Linked DNA regions of Mytilus edulis. The protein of the gene in region 1 binds, or shares a complex with, the protein of each later gene. Links are inferred from orthologs where the notes say so. Each region holds a gene or a part of one and is shown in the gene's direction. Other genes may lie near its edges.

Region 1 (11,478 bases):
ATGACCGTTAATGTCATTTGGCAATATTTTTTATTATAGGCCCAGTTTTATTCAATATTTTTATAAACGATATTTTTTCTTTGTTAGAAACTATAACTTGTATAATTATGCACATAACAATATCCTTTCAAAATCTGATTCTTATTTGGCATTAGTTATTATATATCCTTCGAGAAAGACCTGAGGGGCTCACTAATTTCATGGTTATCACTCAATAAAATGCAGAATAATCCAGAAAAATTCAAGCAATAGCGATTGGTAGTAAAACACATAAAAACAACATGATAGTCTTCATTTAAATGCAAACAATATCAAATGCGATGATGAAGTTAAACTACTTGGTGTGATCAATGATTTTATGCTCGACATAAACCACTGATGATATATATCGATAATAAAATTGAGAACGGAAAACATGGGGAATGTGTCAAGGAGGCAACAACCCGGCTATAGAACAGACAACAACAGAAGGTCACCAACATGTCTTCAACTTGTGCAGCGAGAAATTCCCGCACCCGGAGGTGTTCTTCAGCTGGCCCCTTAATTAAAGGGAAATCACACTATTTATACTACTAATAATAATTCATTGAAATTTTGCATGCAGACAGATCATACTTATTACAACATTTTAGGCGAAAAAACAATTGGGGTCACCGATGTTGTTTTCGAGATATGACGTCATCAAAAAGTAAAGAATCGCGTTATACCGAAATATAGAAGTAGCGCTTTAAGTTGCTAATTGAAGGCGAAATTATTGAAAAACGATCTTTCACTGGTATAACTAAAACATTCAATTGTAACTTTTACCTTATACACATTTATTTTTCTCAGTTTCTTTATTTTTCAAGGCCTTTGAACATTTCCCGCCATTTTTAATTTCTATTTATTATAGATTTTTCTTGAAATAAAAAAAATCTACTAATGTTTTTTCCTTCAAACTTCTGCATAAGCTGCAGCTTCAGGGGAGATTTTAAAAGCATAAATAAAAAAGGGGGGTCACCGATGTTTTAAATCCGCTAAAACGGAAATAATCTTATTATCGATTTTTGGCGGGAACTATAACTAACGCTCAGAGAACGACATTGCTAACATAGGAGCATTTCTTGCAATGCTTGGAACTATTGGGTTGACTTAAACCTTTTCACTTCAAAATATAATATCATTTTTTCAAGGTATTTCGATTATTAATTGATATTTTTATCAATCTATAGAAACGTTTTAACATTACATACTGTAACAGTTTATTATAACGTAATTGTCAAAGTTGAAGTCATCTGAATTTTTTAATTGCATTTGTTGTATAGGGAAAACGATTGTCTGCCTCGTGCCGTATTAGAAATAATTTACGGATCCGGATTTACAGATTTAGAATCCTCTACTTCGGAATACTGAGGGTATCCGGGCTGAAAGTAACACGTTCCATTTAGACTACAAACAGAATATATTCACTAACTTGTCCATTCGCACCGGGAAGATAAAACCTGAAATGCCGTATTAAAAAGCCACAAACTCGGCACTTTTAAAAAAGCCCTTAACGACACCATTTTCGGAAGAAATTTAAAATTGGTTAACATTCCCGTAATTACATAACGCTCCATAATCGCACCAACGTTAGTTCGACTTTCAGTGAAATTTTGAGTTAAAGTTCGAGTTTTATTTTGATTTCGAACATTTATTCCAGTAAGAGTTCTAGTCAAAGCTCGAGTTACACTTATAAACTTCCGAGTTATACTGTTAGATAGAGTAAAAATTCTGGTAAGAGTTAAAATTTTGAGATCCGATGAAATTAGGAGTAAGATTGCAGTTTCTATTTTCTGTGGGTGCACCTCTTTTTCTTTAAATGTATATTCTTTTATTACATTTATATTTTATTACGGTATATGCCAATACTGATTAATGATAGTTAATTTGAAAATAACTGATTGAATCTGTGTGCCAATTTAAGCACTCTCTGCTATATCATATTGGCCATTTTTTTTTCTCAAAAGAACCGAAGAATCAAGAGCTTATCATCTACCTTTGTATTAAAAAAAAAACTGGTTGACCTTTTCAGTCATGGTCGGAATCCGACAATCTCACTGTATCAATGTCTACAGCCAAGGGGGGTTAGCCAAGTGATCACATTGAACACGAACCTACATCTGAGCTATTAGGCAGCAACCATTTGATTTTCTGGGGGGGGGGGGGGGGGGGCTATGGTTTTTTTTTCTGTACAAACTTTTTTTTTCGCCTGCGGCGAAAAACAATCTATTTTTTTCGCGACAAGTCGAAAACAATTTTTTTCTTTCAATTTTAGCATTACATATAGTGGCAGCTGAGGGTGAAACAAACAATTTTTTTTTCTCAGAATCAAAAACAAATTATTTTTTTCTCCAAAAACTGGAAACAAACTTTTTTTTCCAAAAAAAAAACATAGCCCCCCCCCCCCCCCCCCCCCCAGAAAATCAAATGGTTGCTGCCTTATCAAAATTGAGAATGGAAATGGGGAATGTGTCAAAGAGACAACTCCACTGAAATTGTACACAAGAAACTAAAATTAAAATAATACAAGACTAACAAAGGCCAGAGGCTCCTGACTTGGGACAGGCGCAAAAATGCGGCGGTGTTAAAACATGTTTATGAGATCTCAACCATCCCCCTATACCTCTAGCCAATGTAGAAAAGTAAACGCATAAAAAAAAGTAACGAACATATGTGTAAAAAAGAATCCAGAAAATTGAAAGTTCTGAAAAAAAATTGGATCACACTTGAATAAACTGACAAAAATGGAAATTTACCATTCTTTTATCATGCCAAACCTAAGTTACTGTCCACTCACATGGCATTTTTGTAGCGAGCGCAACACCAAAAATATATATAAAAAAAAACCTGCCAGAACCGGAGCGCTCAGATTTATCTGTAAGGACTACAATAACTCATAGGAACAATTACTCGAACAATCTTAACTACCAACACTTAAAATCAGACGCACGAGAACCACGGCATAAAAAACTGTGACAAAATCCAGTCCAGAGCTCTTACACAATTAATTAAATTTTAAAAATTACTCGTATAATATTTTAGATATTAACTCACATAAACAAACATATCATATGCACATCAAAGATTAAGGCTTCTTCTTGACATTTGAAGGTCCCTACTATGTATTGGCTATCTAAACAACACACAAAAAAAACCATTTAAATATTGTTTCATCTCGGCCTCTAGTAAGTGTTCTACAAATAATTTTTCAGTGCTTTGAACAAGTAGCTTATCATAAACTATTGTAATAAAATATATGAACATAGTGGAATAAACTATTTTTGGAGTGAAACAAATTCTTTGGATGTTTTAGATAAATTACGTGCTTTTGATGGTCCTTTTGATTCTGTTGACAGTTTTGATTTTTCTACTCTTTACACTACACTTCCACACTATTTCATCAAACAAAAGTTTTCCTATTTAATTAAATGGTCGTTTAGTAAATCTGAATGCAAATATATTTGCTGCAGCACATTTAAAGCCTTCTTCTCTAATGAGAAAGGAAAATATGCTCGATATACTTACTGGAGGTGTGATAAGATGATTGAAGCTGTTAATTTTCTCCTTGATAATTTTATGTACGTTTCGGCAACAAAGTTTATCGACAGGTTGTGGGTATTCCTATGGGCACTAATTGCGCCCCTTTATTAGCAGACTTGTTTTTGTACTTTTTCGAATCACAGTTTAAGACTAAACTCAGTAAAGACCTGTCGAAATTGCATTTAATTGATAAATTCAACAACTCTTACCGTTATCTTGATGATATTTTTTCGTTAAATAATCCAGAATTTTCTCAATATACTGCTGAAATTTACCCCAAGGAACTTACTTTAAATAAATCAAATTTAACGTTAATAATCGTCTTTTCCTAGATTTATATATCTCGGTTTTAAACGGGAAACTCCACACTTAAATTTACGACGAAAGGGACGATTTTTCGTTCCCTATTCTTAAATTTTCCATTTTTAGATGGTGATGTTCCTTTGGCACTATCTTACTGTGTTTATATTTCACAGCTCGTTCGCTATGTCCGTGTCCGTTGTGATGTTTTTGATTTTAACGAACGTAATCTATGTATTTCTGGTGATTATTAAACCAGGGATCACGTTACCATAGATTACTTTACTAATTTTTTCCATAGATATAAAGATTTGGTTTTGTAGTTGTTCCTGTAGAAAACATATTTCAAGCGGGATAGCACATCCTCATTTTTACGGAAATGTTGTTAACCGTGCAAGGAAATTTAGAAATGATCCTGGTAAACTTATTGCTCCTTTAAATAAACTTATTCTAAAAGGTTACTAATTCAACACTGTAATAAGATCATTGAATATTGTTTTTATTGGTATAAATATTGATTTTGTTATCAGTAAATAAAAAGCAAACTAAATATTACTGGTATGTTATATACATAAACACATTCATGGATCTAATGTACAATGTGTCGATACCTGTATCTTGGCATTGCACGAGGTCATGTTTTCTCTGACTGTTTATGACGTCTTTACACTAAATCCATTGGATGTTGGATGTGTACGGATTGGTAATTTATTCTTAGATGCATGATTTTTTTTAATTATATGTTAGTGGCTTTGAACTAGCTGTCTGTTAACTGCGAGTACTCTCAGATCTTTTCCTAGCGTCTTTTTGTTGTTGGGTTGTACCAGTACCCGGCCACGCCCACTTGTATTTTTGTCCATCTGTATAGTTAATTCTTTTTCAACTGATTTTTATAATTCGTTCTTATGTTGTACTGTTATATATCACTGTCCCAAGTTAGGGGGAGAGTTAAGATCCCGCTAACATGTTTAACCCCGCCACATTTATATGTATGTATGTGCCTGTCCCAAGTCAGGAGCCTGTAATTCAGTGGTTGTCGTTTGTTTATGTGTTACATATATTTGTTTTTCCTTCATTTTTTTTTTATATAAATAAGGCCGTTAGTTTTCTCGTTTGAATTGTTTTACATTATCATTTCGGGACCTTTTATAGCTGACTATGCGATATTGACTTTGCTCATTGTTGAAGGCCGTACGGTGACCTATAGTTGTTTATTTCTGTGTCATTTTGGTCTCTTGTTGAGAGTTGTCTCATTGGCAATCATACCACATCTTCTTTTTTATATTATAATTTATTATTTTCTTTTAGATATCAAAATCTCTGGAATCGGGAAAAACACCAAAAGACTGGAAACATGCAATTGTTGCACCAGCATTTAAAAAGGGTGAACGATACAAGGCTGAAAATTATAGACCGATTTCACTCACTTGTATTTGTTGTAAGTTGATGGAACATATAGTGACAAGTAACATTATGAACTATTTAGAGGCAAATAACATTCTTTACGACCTCCAACATGGTTTCCGAAAATCCAGATCATGCGAATCACAACTTATTCAATTTATACAAGAACTTCATAACAACAACAGCAAAAATATACAAACAGACCTCATTATTATGGATTTTGCCAAGGCCTTTGATAAGGTTTCCCACAAACGTCTACTCTATAAACTAAAATACTATGGCATTCGAGGTAACACTCTAAAATGGATTCAGGCTTTCTTATCAGACCGTACGCAAACAGTGGTAATAGATGGAATAACATCAAATACAGCACCAGTAACATCAGGTGTCCCCCAAGGAACTGTCCTTGGGCCTATACTCTTTTTAATATACATTAATGATTTTCCAGAATACCTGGAACACAGCAAACTACGACTCTTCGCTGATGACAGTATTATATACCAAGAAATAACATGTCAACAAGACTGCACAAATTTACAAAAAGATCTTAACGCAGCAGCGAAATGGGAGGCTGATTGGCTCATGGCCTTCCATCCTGGAAAATGCACTATCTTAACCATCACACAAAAAAAAAAAAACCATTTAAACACGATTACATCCTTCATAACCATACTTTAGAACTAGTAACATCTGCAAAATATCTTGGCGTAACCCTACAGTCTAACTTAAAATGGAACATTCACTACAACAACATCGTATCAAATGCAAATAAATCTCTTGGCTTTCTTAGGCGAAACTTAAAAATTTCTAACTCCAGTATCAAATCCCGTGCTTACCAATCAATAGTGAGACCAAAACTTGAATATGCCTGTAGTCTATGGGATCCACACACAGCAGATTATAAAAATAAGCTAGAAATGGTACAGAGGCGTGCGGCCCGATATGTATGTAACAATTACCACAACACCAGTAGTGTTACATCCATGTTAAACGAACTACAATGGCCCTCACTTAGTGAGCGCCGCCTCAAAACCAGACTTATCATGTTCTACAAGGTCATCCATGGACTCATTGCAATCCCATCACTAGTCCTCATACCATCAGATACTAGAACAAGAAAATTACATACTCAAACATTTCGGCAAATATCCACCTCTAAAGACAGCTACAAATGGTCATTCTTTCCGCAAACAATCATTCAATGGAACATGTTGCCACAAGTTGTGGTAGCAAGTCAAACCATTGAAATTTACAGAGATCAGTTGACACCAACTGTTCTCCACAACATAATTTAATTCTATAAATAACAATGTACATATTTTTTAATCACTTGTTGTTTTCTTTCATGTAAATATCACCAAGTATTCTACTAAGTTAAAGCAAGGACGTATAACTAATATACGAGGCCTCTCATGGGGGGGGGGGGTCCTAGTAATCACATAATCACCATTTTTTTGCCAATATAATCACATAATCATTAAATATTTGCTTATCTTTAGTAATCAAATAATCATAAACTAAAAATACAGTCCTAGGTAATCAAATAATCATGAAATATTTGGCTAATAATCAAATAATCATTAAAAAAACGGCCAAGTAATCACATAATCAAAAACCCCATGAGGGCCCTCATATACGTCCTTGGTTAAAGATAAATTTTTGTTCATATTTTTTAATCATATACTCCGCGCATGCAACAGTTCGTAATCTTCAATAAAAATGAAGCTGTAACTGTATATCAGAAGAAGAAGAAGAAGAAGAAGAAGTCGATTAAGAGCTCCAGAGTCCATATTTACTATGTTAAATTGTACATATCATGTCCGATAAAACCATGTTACTTGCTTCCTTACTTATTTATCGTAGATTCCGGAAAATACAAGCTACTCCGTTATTGGTTTTTGTTATTATACACAGAAGTAAACAAAATTTTTGTCGCCTTGTTTACAGAACTTCGAAGTTGCAGATGAAGTAAATTTTATTTAAAGGACCAGTACAACAAAACCATAAAACATTGTAATAAGTCATTGCGTAAACCCTGAACTTAATGTTTGTTTCTAAACGAAACCACCAACCAAATGTAAAAAAGGGGGGTAGGCATGCCTTGCAGTGAAACGATAAAATGTTGTCGGTAAATTCGTCAATTTAACACACATTTAAACTAACAATTCGTGTCACATTTTCGTGTTAATTGCATATATATGCATAGGTAAATGTCACAATGTAAATTTGTTACAGGTAGATCATTAGGAGGTGGGTCTCTTTGGGTCTAAGTGTGACACGGGATTGCCAATTTTTTGTAACCGTGACAAGTGAAAGTCAAATTATTGTGCCGTAAAAACGGGAAATGAAGTCTAGTGGGAAACAGGAAATTACAAAAAATGAGAATTGCTTACTTACTTAGTGTAAGCAGGAAACGGGATTAGAACCCCACCCCCCTATGAGGTTAGTATTGCCCTGTATTGTCAGGCTTCAAACAGTCCTTTACAGCTACCGTTAGCATCAAATTGGTTAAAATTTCTGTGATTTGGCAACATATTCTTATCACGATTATATCTATCTATCATGATTAATCAGAGGTCTCAAATAAGTATCGTTACCATCATTTGGCAAGAATTTCTACTGTTATATCATCATGGAGGTACCCGAATTACGACCCTCAGTTATCCCAAATTAGACTAGTCATATCAATCCTAATTTTCATATTCAATCACTGATCAGATTGGTAGGATAAAATACCATTCTGATCAATAACATTTTAATATTGATCTCTACAATCAGACAATGTTAAATGACATGTTCCATATTTTTGTAGATGATCAGTTAAATTAAAGATTTAAAGATCTAAGATCACTGCCTGCTTTTGGTGTCATTTTAATGAATATAAATTGTAATTTTCTTAGCTATATGTAGCACTGGATTAATTCTTTCTAGATTTACCATTTTTTTGGGGTCAAATTTTCAATGTGTATACAAATTGTTTATGCAAACAGTTGCTATTCGTCTTCCTGACTTGGGACAGGTGCAAAAATGTGACTGTTATAAAACATGTTTTGTGAAATTTCAATCCTCCCCCCTAAACCTCTATCCAATGTAGAATAATCAAACACACAGTAAAACTCAAGTCTGAGTCTGAGAAAACACCCATGTTTAACCCAGCCACATTCTTTAAGTGCCTGACCCAAGTCAAGAGCCTATAGTTCAGTGGTTGTTGTTGGTTCATGTCTGTCATATTTGTTTAAATGTTGTGTAATGAAATAAGCCATTAGTTTTTCTCATTTGAATTGTTTCATATTTTTCATGTCAAAATCATTATACATGAAATTTTTCGTCAAATTTTCATGGCTCTTGTGAAGGGGGTGATTACTGTAAACCAACTTATTTTCGTGGATACTTTATTTCGCGTTTTACGATTTCTAGTCCACTTCGCGGCTATTTAATTTCGCGATTTTCTTATCTACTTGATGTAGTTTGATAAGTAAAGATCCAAGTTACATGTATACATATTCGCGACGATTTATATTCGCGTTATTTTTCTACTCGCGAATGTCGCGAAAATAAATCGTTGCGAAAATAAGTTGGTTTACAGTATATATTTTGGTCTGCAGCTTGATAGGGATAAATTAATTTTAGTTATTCAAATGCTTTTGGCATTTAAAAATCAAACATGTTCTGTACTTTGACCTATAATGGTTTACTTTTATAAATTGTGACTTGAGAGCAGAGCTTTGGTCTAGATGTGAATAATAAGATGTGGTATTAGCGCCAATGGTACAAATCTCAATCCAAGTCCAAATGTATAAAAAGTTTACAATTTTAGGTCAAAGTACAACCTTCTACATTCTGAGCCTTCGATCAAACTCGAGGCTCACACTGAACTGCAGGCTATAAAGTGCCCCAAAGTGACTACTCTAAAACAATTCAAACAGGAAAACCAACAGTCTAATCTATAAATAAAATGCAAGAAACAAGAAACACATATCATATGAACTGATGATGGTAATGATTTAGGACTGAATTCTTGGGGAAATAAATGGAATTTGGTTTATAAAGCAAGACAATGAAAGGAGTAGGTCCGGTAAGACCCCTTTTTGGCCCCAAAATATAGCAGTTTTACAAAATTGTTAAAATGTAAACTTTTATTTATTAATTGAACAGTAGAATGCTTCTGTTACATAAATATGGGCTGTTTTTGACAATACAATGCACATATATCGGGTACAAGCACCATTAAGTCATGCTAAATCACTGAAATCTTCACAATTCTAGCATTCTAGTTAAATTTTAGACGGTTTTCGTGTAAAACGAAAGTGGCCACATTCGTATTCATCCTTAATATTAAAATGTAAGTTGTATTTTATGATAATACATAACATATATAAAGGTTGAGGATGAACACGGATGCGGCCACTTTCATTTTTGACAAAAACCATCTGAAAAGAGGCATTTTTTTGCATATTTGGTAGATTTTTCATATTTGAGCTTGCATCGGATCGTTTTTAATGACAAAATCAGTTAAAATCTTTCACATAAACTAATTGAATCAAATAAAATAGACACTTAAGTGTTTAAAAAGTGGGCAAAATCTTTCGTCAGATGAACCTGAAATTTGAGGCCAAAATCGGTCCTTATCGGACCTACTCCTTTTCACTTACGTCCAGTAGTTGTTATAAACATAACTGACTAGCTTCACAAACAAAATGGCTTCCTATTTTACCCCAACAAAATACGCAAAACTTTTTGCCATTTGTATCTTTTTTAAATAAGAAAAAAACAAAAATGTTGCAAAAAGAGTTGCAAGATGCAGAAACAAGATTTTTGACACTAATGAACCATGTCATAATTAAAAGTAAGCTGACATTATATGACAAAATTATAGAAAACTGTAGATACATGTAGGTCTGAAAGGGAACCTGTTTCCTGTTTCGAGGTGCAAACATTTTGGAAAAAAATCTAGAATTTTGTCTTTGTTGAAATCTAATTAATTGAAGTTTGTCATCTTTAAATTTTGTATGTCTATGTCTCATCATTTTCAGTTAAATATTGGTACGTATGATGGCATAGAAGGATGTCATCCCCTAGTGTCAAAGCTGAGAATGGGAGTAAGGTGTTGCCAGGAGACAAGTCTGGGTTGCCATGGGAGATATGGAGAATTATACTTTCCTATCTCACTGCAGAAGACCTCTGTGGATCAGCCTGTGTATGTAAAACATGGAATGATCTGGTTATGAGTCTGGACAGCACTAGGTAAATACAATAAAACAAGAAATGAATAGTAAAATAAAATGGATTTCAGAATTTTTCCTGTTGAAAAAGTTTTCTTAAGTTCATGAGCTTGGTAAAAGCTTGTAGAAACACTTATTTTGTTGTTGAAGAATTGAGTTTTTATTAGATAATTTAAATTCATGGTAATTCAAGTTTAACTGAACATATTAGAATTAAATCATAAATAATTTTATGAGAGGCATTTCTAACACTTATGGTTTAGTCCAATTACAAGGTACAAATGTAACTAACAAATTGTTTTGGCACTTAGAACATTGAGCTTTTGCAAACACGTGGATCAACCTAGTGCAAAACTTGAACCTTTGAAAAAAAAGTTCTGTAGATGACCAATCCAGTCAGAAGCCTAGCAGATCAGAACACTAAATTGACAAAAGTACATACATGAAATGTGAAATCGCTGTCTGTTAAGAGGCCTTAGAAGGGTCTTAAAAAATAAAATTAGAGAGGTCTATAGATGACCTTTAAAGACTCTGCATATAAAAAAGAAGATGTGGTATGATTGCCAATGAGACAACTATCCACAAAAGACCAAAATACCACAGACCAGTATAAGAAATAGATCATTAATCATGATAATAGAATAAGTAGACAGCTCTCTCACAAGCAAAAAACCCCTAACTGTAAAAATATAAGGGCATACACTACAGACACGGGGTCACATTCTACTGAATCCACACAGCACTAGTAACACACCCTGCAGAAAATATAAAAAAGAAGATGTGGTATGATTGCCAATGAGACAACTATCCACATATATGATATAGAGATTTTTATCATCCTTTGTTTCAATGCTTTGATCATGCTGCTAAAGTTTGTCTATTACAAATGCATCCCATATCATGTCAGATTATGATATGGCAAACTTAGGCTTTTGCAAACATCATATATATATATATATTTCATGATATAGAACAAACATAGGCTATACAT
Region 2 (11,034 bases), on another chromosome or scaffold:
ATGCTAAAATGATTTATAAACCATTTTTTTATACATACAAGTAAATTAAGAAATAATTCATGGAAGCCATAGATTTGTTGGAAATTTACACATGGCCTGGGCCGTGATATTCGAATTTTATCCTGAGCGTTAGCGAGGGATAAAATTAACGAATACCACGGCCCAGGCCATGTGTAAATTTCCAACAAATCTATGGCTTCCATGAATTATTTTGATTCTAAAAGGACAAATACGATCATTAAAAAACTGAAGCGATGATGGGTATACCGTGTGTGTGGCTGTTCTATTTTACCCACTACTCGATAAATGTAAAACAAATCTAATAAACCTGCATGAATGATTTCTTAACTAGCCGCTAGAAAAAAATGTCATTACTTTTTTTACTTCTCAGTAAACCCAACATTTGCAATTTCAAATTTACATTTTTTATCGTAAGCTACCGTCAAATTCACTGTTGTAACCAAGGAGCCGCCATGTTGACTTGCTGAAATCAGTAAATGTGCGAATAATGCAATAGAACAGAAAACAAGCAACACCTACCTCAATACTTTATTTTAATGCAATTGTATCCGAGTTTAGACGGTTAACGCAAAAGAAAAACCTTCAGCTTTGACGTTTTCATTCGTATGACGTCATGTTTTGAAATGACGTTAATGCGCCAAAATCATTACTGGAATTTCGCGGAATTTTAATTTATTTTGTTTTTGTCCATTTTTCCGTTCTCTAATGTGTAAATTCTCTTTGTTATGCGTCAGAATCAAAATAAATGTTCTGTAGGGTTTTATTCAATTGTAATTGTTAACACAGTGAAATCCACAACCGTTTACACATAGGTTACGATACATGTGGATTTACGTGGGAGGCATATTTAAACAGCCATCTGTGTACATCTAGGAGTCTGCGCTAAGTATAGATATATCGAGAATTTTATCACGGTGTTGTTTACAAAGCGAAAGAAGCACGTCATATTAGAATTATCATTTAAATTTATCTAAACCTCTCTAAATATGTTATTGAAAATAGTTTAAGCATGTCACTTATTCAATTTGCTCCGTTCTTTAACATCAAATTAAAAGTGCGTTTATTTTAAAAACGGCAAATATTTGCCTATACCTTGAGCGCCTTGATCCAAAAGAATTGCTGTATTTGTCCTATTAGAAAACAATTAATTCATGGGGGCTTGAATTTATACTGAATTTACAACCAGTTTGCCATTTATGCCACTATTTTAACCCTCGCTGTCGCTCATGGTAAAATATTTAGTATAAAGGGCCAACCTGTGCTTATATCAGTATAAATTCAAGTCCCCATGAATTATTTCATAATTATATACATGTACTTATTGATGATTTTGATTTGATATGATACAGATGTTGTGGTTTGTCTTCATTGAAGCCTGTACAAGCATGACTAATGGCTGGTACAGAACAATTGCTATTACTCTTAAACTTACAGGTATATTGGGCTGTGCTATTCCGTCAAATCTGGCACCTGAATCAAAGACATTATTGGCTACAAATGGTTGTGGTTGTTGTGTTGGATAACCTCCTTGTTGTGTTGGATAACCTTGTTGTGGAGGGGCCTAAAATAAAAAATAAAAACTTACAATATGTACTTACAGACAAGAAAGATATATACATTTTTTACAAAAGTAGTCTGCTCAATTAAATTTAATTAAATTTAATGGTATTTGTTTTGCAAGAAAAAGTATGCTTACTTTTACATACTGAAAATGTGCATGTTCATTGATTACATACTACCTTCTATTAAGAACAAGAAACTGCTTTCTTGGTTCTGACCTAATTATTATTGGCGAAAGGAGATATTATAAAAACAATTGAACATTTTATTTTTATTCATGAATATTTAGACAATTGACAAGCTCTAATGTTGTTTTTACGATAATATTTATTTCATTTTTCTCAAAATTTAGTTTATTTAATCAAAATTGTCTATGCTATTAAAACTCCCATTGAACAATAACAAAATTATAACTTGTTACAAACATTTTCAGAAAAAAACCCAGATTAGGTGAAGGATTGAGCACTCACAAACATGTTTAACACGCCACATTCTTTATTTGCCAGTTCCAATTCATGAGAATCATGTTATTCAGTGGTTGCTGCCTGTCATATTTGATTTTTATATATTGTTTTGTCGTAAATCAAGTTGTTGGTTGTCCATTTAATCTTAAATTTAAGTAAACAAAATTACTGACTAAAGAACTTATGAAATTACTAGACTTGACACTTAACATGTCAGCGCAGGTATATTCTAGAAATCCTTAAACATATTATTATGACTCACATGAAAAAAGTTCAGCAGTTACTATACATATGCTATTAAAGACACTTACGTATGAATAGGGTGGTGGTGGTCCCTGAGGTGGTGCACCATAGGCTCCAGGAGATTGATAAGACTGTGCCATGTGAGTTACTGTCACACCTGGAGCTGGTGAGCCATCTGTTAAATACAAAGGTTTTCACTTTACATGCTTTATAAGTTGAAGAAACTTTTGATCTTATCAAAAATGCATTGGACATTATATAAAATCATATTTTCATCTTAATCACATGGATCAGATGTCACATACTTGGACATTATAACTACATTGCGAGTGCGTCATGATTTTGCTATAGGAGGTAAAGCAACAGGGCATGAGTTCAGTAGATTGGGTACCTTTAAAACACTTTCAACTAACTTTGCCAGTCTGTAAGTGCATTCACACTTTGAGCTAACTTTGCCATTAAGTAGGTGTGTTCACACTAAGATAAGCTATACATGTACTATTTTTAACATCTTTAGTATTTATTTATGTACATGTGTAGTTGAGGTTTTACTTTTGTCATCTTGTAAAGAAGAAAGTATGATAAAAGCTATTATTTAGCCCCTGAAATAACAAATATGGTAAAACTTTTCAAACACATGAAGAGATACATGAATAGAATGATATAGTGTATAAATATAACTTTTATAATGTCCTTATGATCATGATGAAGTAATAAGTATAGCATGCATTTTACTCTTAGTATTAAATTTGACAAAAGAGATACATGTATGTGCAGATCCAAAGTCTAACAAACACCATTTTATACCTATACTATGCTGGGAAAATTTGAGTGTTGATGTCTTTGTGGCGACATATTTTTATTTATTTTATGACAACTGTGAATACCTAGCTGAATCCACTAGTTTTCCACTTCAGGTATTGGTTCACTTGATAGAACTACATTCTAGGTTACTGGTATGTTGAATACATGTACTTCAATTACTTACGAGCAAAGCTACTACTGTATCCTGGTGGCCCTTGCTGATATTGTTGAGTAGGGTAACCAGCGGTGGGATAACCCTGGGTAGGATACCCTGGTGTTTGGTAAGGTGACTTATTTGGTTTTCCTGGAGAGAAAACAAACACTATTATTGTCATGCATATAGCTCAATAATAACTATTTAATTAAAATACATAGATAACAATAGTTAATGGCAGAGCACAAAACTAATAGAATGAAAAAACAACCACTAAAAAACATATTTGCAGAATATAAAATAAACATAATGTATGTGTAGCAAACAAGTGTTTTTAAGTGCAAATAAAAGATGTAGGATATACATGATATATGCAGGGTTCATTCTACATGTTTAAGGAAGATGTACATCTCCAGTATTTATATATCTAAAAACATCATTAAATGATGTACAGTATGACAGTAGAATTAGTTGTTCTCTTTGCTAACAAGCTTCTGTAAATGTTTCCTGAAATTCAGTGGAGATTTGAAATGGTTTAATCATGTTCCCAAGAAGTTAACCATAGACTGTACATTGTATCTAAATGAAAACTACATGCATGTTCATTTTTTAAGGATTTTTCATTGGCCCATATACATTTTTACAGCACTTGCCAGGTATATTTTTCCAAGTGATGATTGTTAGGTACATTTTTACACTTACCTGACTTATGTAAAGATTCAGATTCAATAGTTTATTAAAGTATCACCACATACAACATGATTAAAACAAGATACAATTATAAAATTAATTATACAGTAAACATAGTTAAAACAATTAAATACATGTATGTGCCATTCTTAAAAGAATTATGAGAGACTATTAAAATACAAATAATACTTATTCATTTTATAAAATACTACAAATACAGTAGTTAACGATATAAAATACTGTTTCTCCTTGTTTAAATGTTATTGCAGGTTTTGGCAACAATATTACAAATATTGGTATTTTTAAACATATATATAAATTTTTCTTCATCAGACAAGTTTAAAAACATATATATCATAAAGAAACACAGATTTACAAACTAAGCTGCAGATCATTGTTTTGTATTGGCTGATGTAATTAAGTCTTGATGAAAAACTTTTTTTACAAATCATACAAGCCTGAAATAGGTCCTAGTTTTGTTTTCAATTCATGTGTTTAAGTCATGTAAGTTAAGTGTGATGATATGTTGGAAATTGATCTGTTCTCCAATTCATTTTGAATGTTAGCTATAATCATTACTGTAAAACTATTTCTGGAGATAAAAAAACTAGCATGGCAGGGATTGCTTCAGATAAAGAAAAAAGTAGCCTCCAAAGACAGTCACATGAGTCAACAAAAGACTGCATGCATGGTTATTTAAATTTCTTCCTATTATTCAATTATGACCATGATGACACACAACAGGCACAGATCCAGCCATTTTAAAAAGGGGGGTCCCAACCTAGGACAAAGGGGGTGTTCCAACTATATGTCCCCATTCAAATGCTTTGATTGGCCAAAAAAAAGGGGGGGTTCCAACCTGCATCCGGCAATGCACTATAAGAACATAATTTTCAGAAATGAATGTTTTAAAATTATCATGATTATGCACATTTTATGAATCATTCATAAAGAATTTTTGTGAAATTAGCTCAGGTACATGTAGGTCTCCTTGTCATGCTCATCAGGCCAGGGGTCTCATTGAGTGGGGGTCTGATCCCGGATACCGCTTATTGTTTAGTGAGAATCCTGTATCAGTGTCTCGCCGTTCTTTGTTTCCATTTTTCATGCTTAATTGTTCGACTTTCACATGTCACTCTTTAAAAAAAACAGCCAATCCTGCATCACGCTTGGACCCTAGTCCAAATAATTATGACATCTTGAAAGGCTATTATATTTTTTTTTCTTAGACGCCTTTCATCGAAGGAAAGCGTCAAAGCAAATATTTAAAATATTCTTCCAAGACATCATAATTATTTGGACTACAATGTAGCTTGGACCCACCTCATCAAGAACTTAATTTGACAGAACATGCTCATAAAAATAATATGTTGAAATTAATAAAAATGTTAAAATTTTAATTTAACTGATACAAGTAACTTATCAGAATTAGAAAATTTGCCTGTAACATTTATTATGTTGTTGTCTTTGTAAACAAGGATGTAGATTAACAACAAAAATATATTAATTTAGTAGAAATAAACCTTAGTTTTTCTCTTCTCATTTTTATAGACAGTAATAATTTTTATCCCGGATAACTTGATAATTTTAGCAGATCTTTAACACTGTTGTACGTCTCTTACCTGACATTCTAAAATTTCGTAATAATATTGTTTACAATTCTCTCTTGTGAGCTTTGATCATCTGTTCTGGTTGACTGATTTCTCACGATTCCTTATAAAAGATAACAAAACAATATCAGTAAATCTGTAAAAAAGTTAAATTTACAGGTTCATCAATTAGATATGAATATTAATATAATCATTGTTTTCAATTTTTTAGAAATAATTATGTATGGATAATAATCTGGTTGAATATTTTAAGATTTGTTATCAAATAGTTTAGCATTTAACGCCCTCTGTGGGGAATTTTTGTACAAACGGGAGACAATTCAAATGAGGTCAATCGCTATTGATTCCATAATGAAATGAAATTCAATAGGAAACGACTACATAAATGGTAAAAAAATCAAATAATGTAACACAGTTTCCGTTTTTATATCATTGTCATATTTCATAATAGATTCGTGTTAGAGTTCAGTAGATTTTTCAAAAATAAACACACTTTTGTCAAAAATGATATGGACGGTCGCCATTTTGAAGAGGTTATCTTTTAAACAACGATTTTTTTGTCCAAGTTCTTTGTAATTTAAACATCTTAACCTGTTTTAATGGGATCGTTTGACTATTATATAAAAACGGGCTACATTTGTTACAATGAATTTTAAAAAAGAAACAGAAATATATCATTCAACAGATAAACTCATAAAAGGAGGACTAAGGAACTGATTATTCATCTTTATTTTTATCAATGACACTTTAAAGTACAGAGGGCAAAATTAACATATTTATAATTCTAAGATTTTTAATGAATTTGTCAGTTTGTTGGTTAAACATCTGAGTATGAGTGAGAACCTGTTTCAAGTTCAGATGCAACAAATGTCTACACAAATTTACATCAATAGCACAGGCACTTGTTTCTATCCATAGGAATGTTGACTATCCATATAAATAGAAGCATTATATGGATAGTCGACCTTCCTATGGATAGAAACAAGTGCCTGTGATCAATAGTCAATATATTCATGTACATTGCCATATTGTCGCGTTTCAGTTAAAAAAAGATGAGTAGGATAGCGCAATCACATATGTTAACTCAAAATTTAATATCATTGTGCAAATGTAGTTTTAGAAGATTCCAATAACTGTCACATTCATGCAGTTCTCTACACATTTCCAATGTCACATGCGGAAGCTATTACATATGTACTTCAAACCTTTGAATAGACTTATTAAGAAGGGATATAATTACGATACTGTTGTCAAGTCATTAAAGATTGCATATTTTGGCGTTAATATTGACTCACTGATAAGGTCTTTGCATCGGAACTAAACACATTTATTCTAAAAACAGTTGTTGGCATGACACGGGTTATGTTCTTCTCATATATGTTATGATGGTATGATACTAAACCCCTAACGGGAAGGATTGTGCCTAATGTTCATATGAGGAAATCATAATCTTTCAGTCAGTTTAATTGAAGTCTGGAGCTGGCATGTCAGTTAACTGCTAGTAGTCTTGTTATTTATGTATTATTGTCATTTTGTTTATTTTCTTTGGTTACATCTTCTGACATCAGACTCGGACTTCTCTTGAACTGAATTTTAATGTGCGTATTGTTATGCAATTACTTTTCTACATTGGTTAGAGGTATAGGGGGAGGGTTGAGATCTCACAAACATGTTTAACCCCGCCGCATTTTTGCGCCTGTCCCAAGTCAGGAGCCTCTGGCCTTTGTTAGTCTTGTATTATTTTAATTTTAGTTTCTTGTGTACAATTTGAAAATTAGTATGGCGTTCATTATCACTGGACTAGTATATATTTGTTTAGGGGCCAGCTGAAGGACGCCTCCGGGTGCGGGAATTTCTCGCTACATTGAAGACCTGTTGGTGACCCTCTGCTGTTGTTTTGTTGTTTTTTTTATTTGGTCGGGTTGTTGTCTCTTTGACACATTCCCCATTTCCATTCTCAATTTTATTCATAGTAAAAGCTGATTAGTGGTTAACTCCAACATTAAAAATTCTTAAATTGGTCACCAAAATATAATTGTTTAAGGTTCATCATAACAAACGGACAAATATGGCTGTATTTACATGCCAAAAATTACTCTTGAGTACAGACTTACCTGTGAAGTTGGAAAAGTTTTAATGCCTGGCATCCAATAGATATAATAAAGTTAAATCTCTTTTTGATTTTGATGGGCATTTTTTTCCTTCATGCAAAAGGTGTGAAAATTAACTAAGTTGTGGTACAACTATGAGATGTTCCCTCAGGTAAAAAAACGGTTTGTATTGTTTGGATTGTCCTTAATTGACATGGACAAGAAGTATCTTCACAACTATCATGACTATAGGTGAATTTAAAGAGTTTATCTGAGTCAGTGAGTGGACAGTATCAAAGTAATTCAGGTGCCTGTTTATTTTTACACCTGAAGAAAGGAAAAAAAATGCCCATCAAAAACCAAGAAAGATTTTCTTAAACACAAAATGCATTTAACTTTTATATATCTAGTGGATGCTAGGCATTAAAACTTTCCAAACAGCACAGGTAAGTTTGTACACAGAGTAGTTTTTGTGGTGAAAATACGGCCATATTTGTCCATTTTTTATGATGAACCTTAATAAATGTGCCAGATCTACATACTAGTCTGAAAATATGTACATGTATCACAAGCTCCACAAATTTCATTAAAAACTTTGGCATTTGGTCACATTTTTCAAAGTATTATTTAACAATTTCAAAGAAAACAAGCTAGTATATATAAAAAAGAAGATGTGGTATGATTGCCAATGAGACAACTGTCCACAAGACACCAAAATGAAACAGACATTAACAGCTATAGGTCACCTTACAGCCTTCAACAATGAGCAAAGCCCATACCGCATAGTCAGCTATAAAAGGCCCCGATATGACAATGTAAAACAATTCAAACGAGAAAACTAACGGCCTTATTTATATAAGAAAAATGAAGAAAAACAAATATGTAACACATAAACAAATGACAACCACTGAATTACAGGCTCCTGACTTGGGACAGGCACATACATTAATAATGGCCTGACAAGAAAACAATATCTCAACATGTTTTGGCTGCAAATTATGGGGTCACACACACTTTGGTTACCAGTCATTAGGACTGTTAAATTGGCTAAATTTATTTGAAGGAATATCTGGGTCATGAAGTCTGTTTTCATCCAAAAAACATATCTACCAATATCTTCTAAAGTTTTTACCCATTCTGTACATTTGTATGTATTTTCAAGCATGTCAGGCATGTCTTCAGCACTGAATGTATATTGTTTCATATATTATTTCATTCTGTTTGAATTTTAGATCCAGATTTGATTAATTATAAGTTCACAAAATGGATATCAACTGACTTTGATGTGAAAAATTTCTGCTTATAACATTTCTACTGAAGATTTAAATAAGGTTAAAAAATGGCAGGATCACGTCAGAATCCACATGGATTGAAGCAGATTGGATTAGACCAGATTTGGGATGATCTACGAGGAGGAATCAAACATGTATACAACCGACAGAGCATGGCTAGAAACAGATACATGGAACTATACACGTATCCTTTTACATTTAATGTGAATCTGTGATTCATCAAGAGATTAATAAAAACATTTCAGTTTAAACAGTTCAATCCCATAGACAAATGATAGATGTGTTCTACTGTAAATTAAACTGAATTTTCAAATTTTTAGTAGGGGGGGGGGGGGGGGGGAGATTAATACCATGAATTTTGGGGTTTATAACCAATAATCTTGCATGTAGTTAGAAAAGTAAGGTTTAACTTTATTTTTGGGCTGCTTGTTTGTTATTTATATCAACCACACTTGCATTAAAATGCATTATATTAAAAAAAAACATACTATAGATTCTTTATCTACATATTCTTTAAGAACTTGAAAAGTTCTCTGACATTAATTTTTTTTTATATCATTGTTTGTATTGTATTATGAAAATTATTGATGTTGTAATATTTATACCCTTTTGGGCCTATAATTGGAAATAAATATCTTCTTCTTTTTATAACAAATGCAAAAAGCTTTGAACATTATTGGTTTTGAAAATATTAAGCCACTATGAAACACATTATTTTAACATAACTCAACGGTCAGTAAAGCAGGTGAGACAATTCATCCTGTGTACTTCTGTTTTATTCGAATTCTAAATAGCACTGGTAAACATGAACAAATGGAACCACATGTGAACTTGTCATTTAATCAAATATTGCTTCCTTAATGTTTACTTAGACATGTTTACAATTACTGTACAAGTGTTCATCAGTCTGGACAAGCTGGTCAACAGTCATCTTCAAGGGCACAAGGTGGGCGTCGCCCAAAACCACCAACAGGAGGAGCCCAGTTTGTTGGATTTGAGCTGTATAAAAGACTAAAAGATTTTCTTAAATCCTACCTGGTCACAGTGTTGAGGGTATGTTACACGTCATGTTATACATTTACTTTCTTTTGTTTGAAATCAGACTTAAAAAATTTGATTTATATTGAACACTATTCAATAATATGATGTTCAATTATAATTTTATATTATAAAAAGCCTTGGACAATTTTTCTTGATACAAATGCATACACAGAAACATCTACTGTTGATTTTTTTCTTGCAATTTGGACATAACATTCTTCATGAAGCAGAACCTATGGGAAACAGGACGTTAAATTTGAATGCAGTTTTATCTGCCCTTGCTACTGTTTTATGGCCTTAAAGGAAGGATATCATATATTCGTGATCAACAGCCCATATTTCTTAAAGAGGGACGAAAGATACCAAAGGGACAGTCAAACTCATAAATCTAAAACAAACTGACAACGCCATGGCTAAAAATGAAAAAGACAAACAGAAAAACAATAGTACACATGACACAACATAGAAAACTAAAGAATAAACAACACGAACCCCACCAAAAACTAGGGGTGATCTCAGGTGCTCCGGAAGGGTAAGCAGATCCTGCTCCACATGTGGCACCCGTCGTGTTGCTTATGTGATTACAAATCCGGTAAATAGTCTAATTCGGTAGGTCACATTCATGAAAGGGAAGGGGATTGTAGTTACGACGTAAGGAACATATCCGATATCATTTGTGAAACGGTTATTCCATAACGGTCAACCAACTCGTGATGGCGTCCGTAAAATTTACGAAGGGATGATTTCAACTTCACCATTTGGAACTCTAATTAATTCTAATTCTTTATATTGCTCTTCTTGACACATTCAACATTAAACCAAAGGGGGGAAAAGTTTTAAACATTATAATTTGGCTTTTATGTCAGTTTCATAGGTTGATATTCTGAACATGAACGTTACCAAATTTTTCACCAGCACTTTTTTATATGTCAAATTTTAATTTTACATGTATCTCCAACAGGACGGACAAGATTTTCTTGATGAGCAGGTTCTATCATTCTACACCAAACAATGGGAGGATTATCAGTTTTCCAGTAAAGTATTAAATGGAGTGTGTGCCTATCT

The links. Proteins that work in one complex are often made in the same cells at the same time.
Region 2: F-box only protein 10-like (region 1) and cullin-1-like share a complex: the UniProt entries of both Homo sapiens proteins name them as parts of the SCF(FBXO10) complex. The link is inferred for Mytilus edulis from reciprocal best matches to the Homo sapiens genes FBXO10 and CUL1.

What each region holds. Positions count from the first base shown.
Region 1 is NC_092355.1:23,272,744-23,284,221, reverse strand, and holds the start of F-box only protein 10-like, read left to right. Parts: upstream 1-7,152; 5' UTR 7,153-7,278; intron 7,279-10,298; 5' UTR 10,299-10,330; coding exon 10,331-10,509; intron 10,510-11,478. UniProt on the Homo sapiens protein: Substrate-recognition component of the SCF (SKP1-CUL1-F-box protein)-type E3 ubiquitin ligase complex. Mediates the ubiquitination and degradation of BCL2, an antiapoptotic protein, thereby playing a role in apoptosis by controlling the stability of BCL2.
Region 2 is NC_092345.1:9,610,243-9,621,276, forward strand, and holds the start of cullin-1-like, read left to right. Parts: upstream 1-5,831; 5' UTR 5,832-5,934; intron 5,935-8,868; 5' UTR 8,869-8,975; coding exon 8,976-9,112; intron 9,113-9,800; coding exon 9,801-9,981; intron 9,982-10,930; coding exon 10,931-11,034. Other genes in the region: DAZ-associated protein 2-like, read right to left, coding at 1,454-1,582, 2,357-2,463, 3,277-3,427. UniProt on the Homo sapiens protein: Core component of multiple cullin-RING-based SCF (SKP1-CUL1-F-box protein) E3 ubiquitin-protein ligase complexes, which mediate the ubiquitination of proteins involved in cell cycle progression, signal transduction and transcription.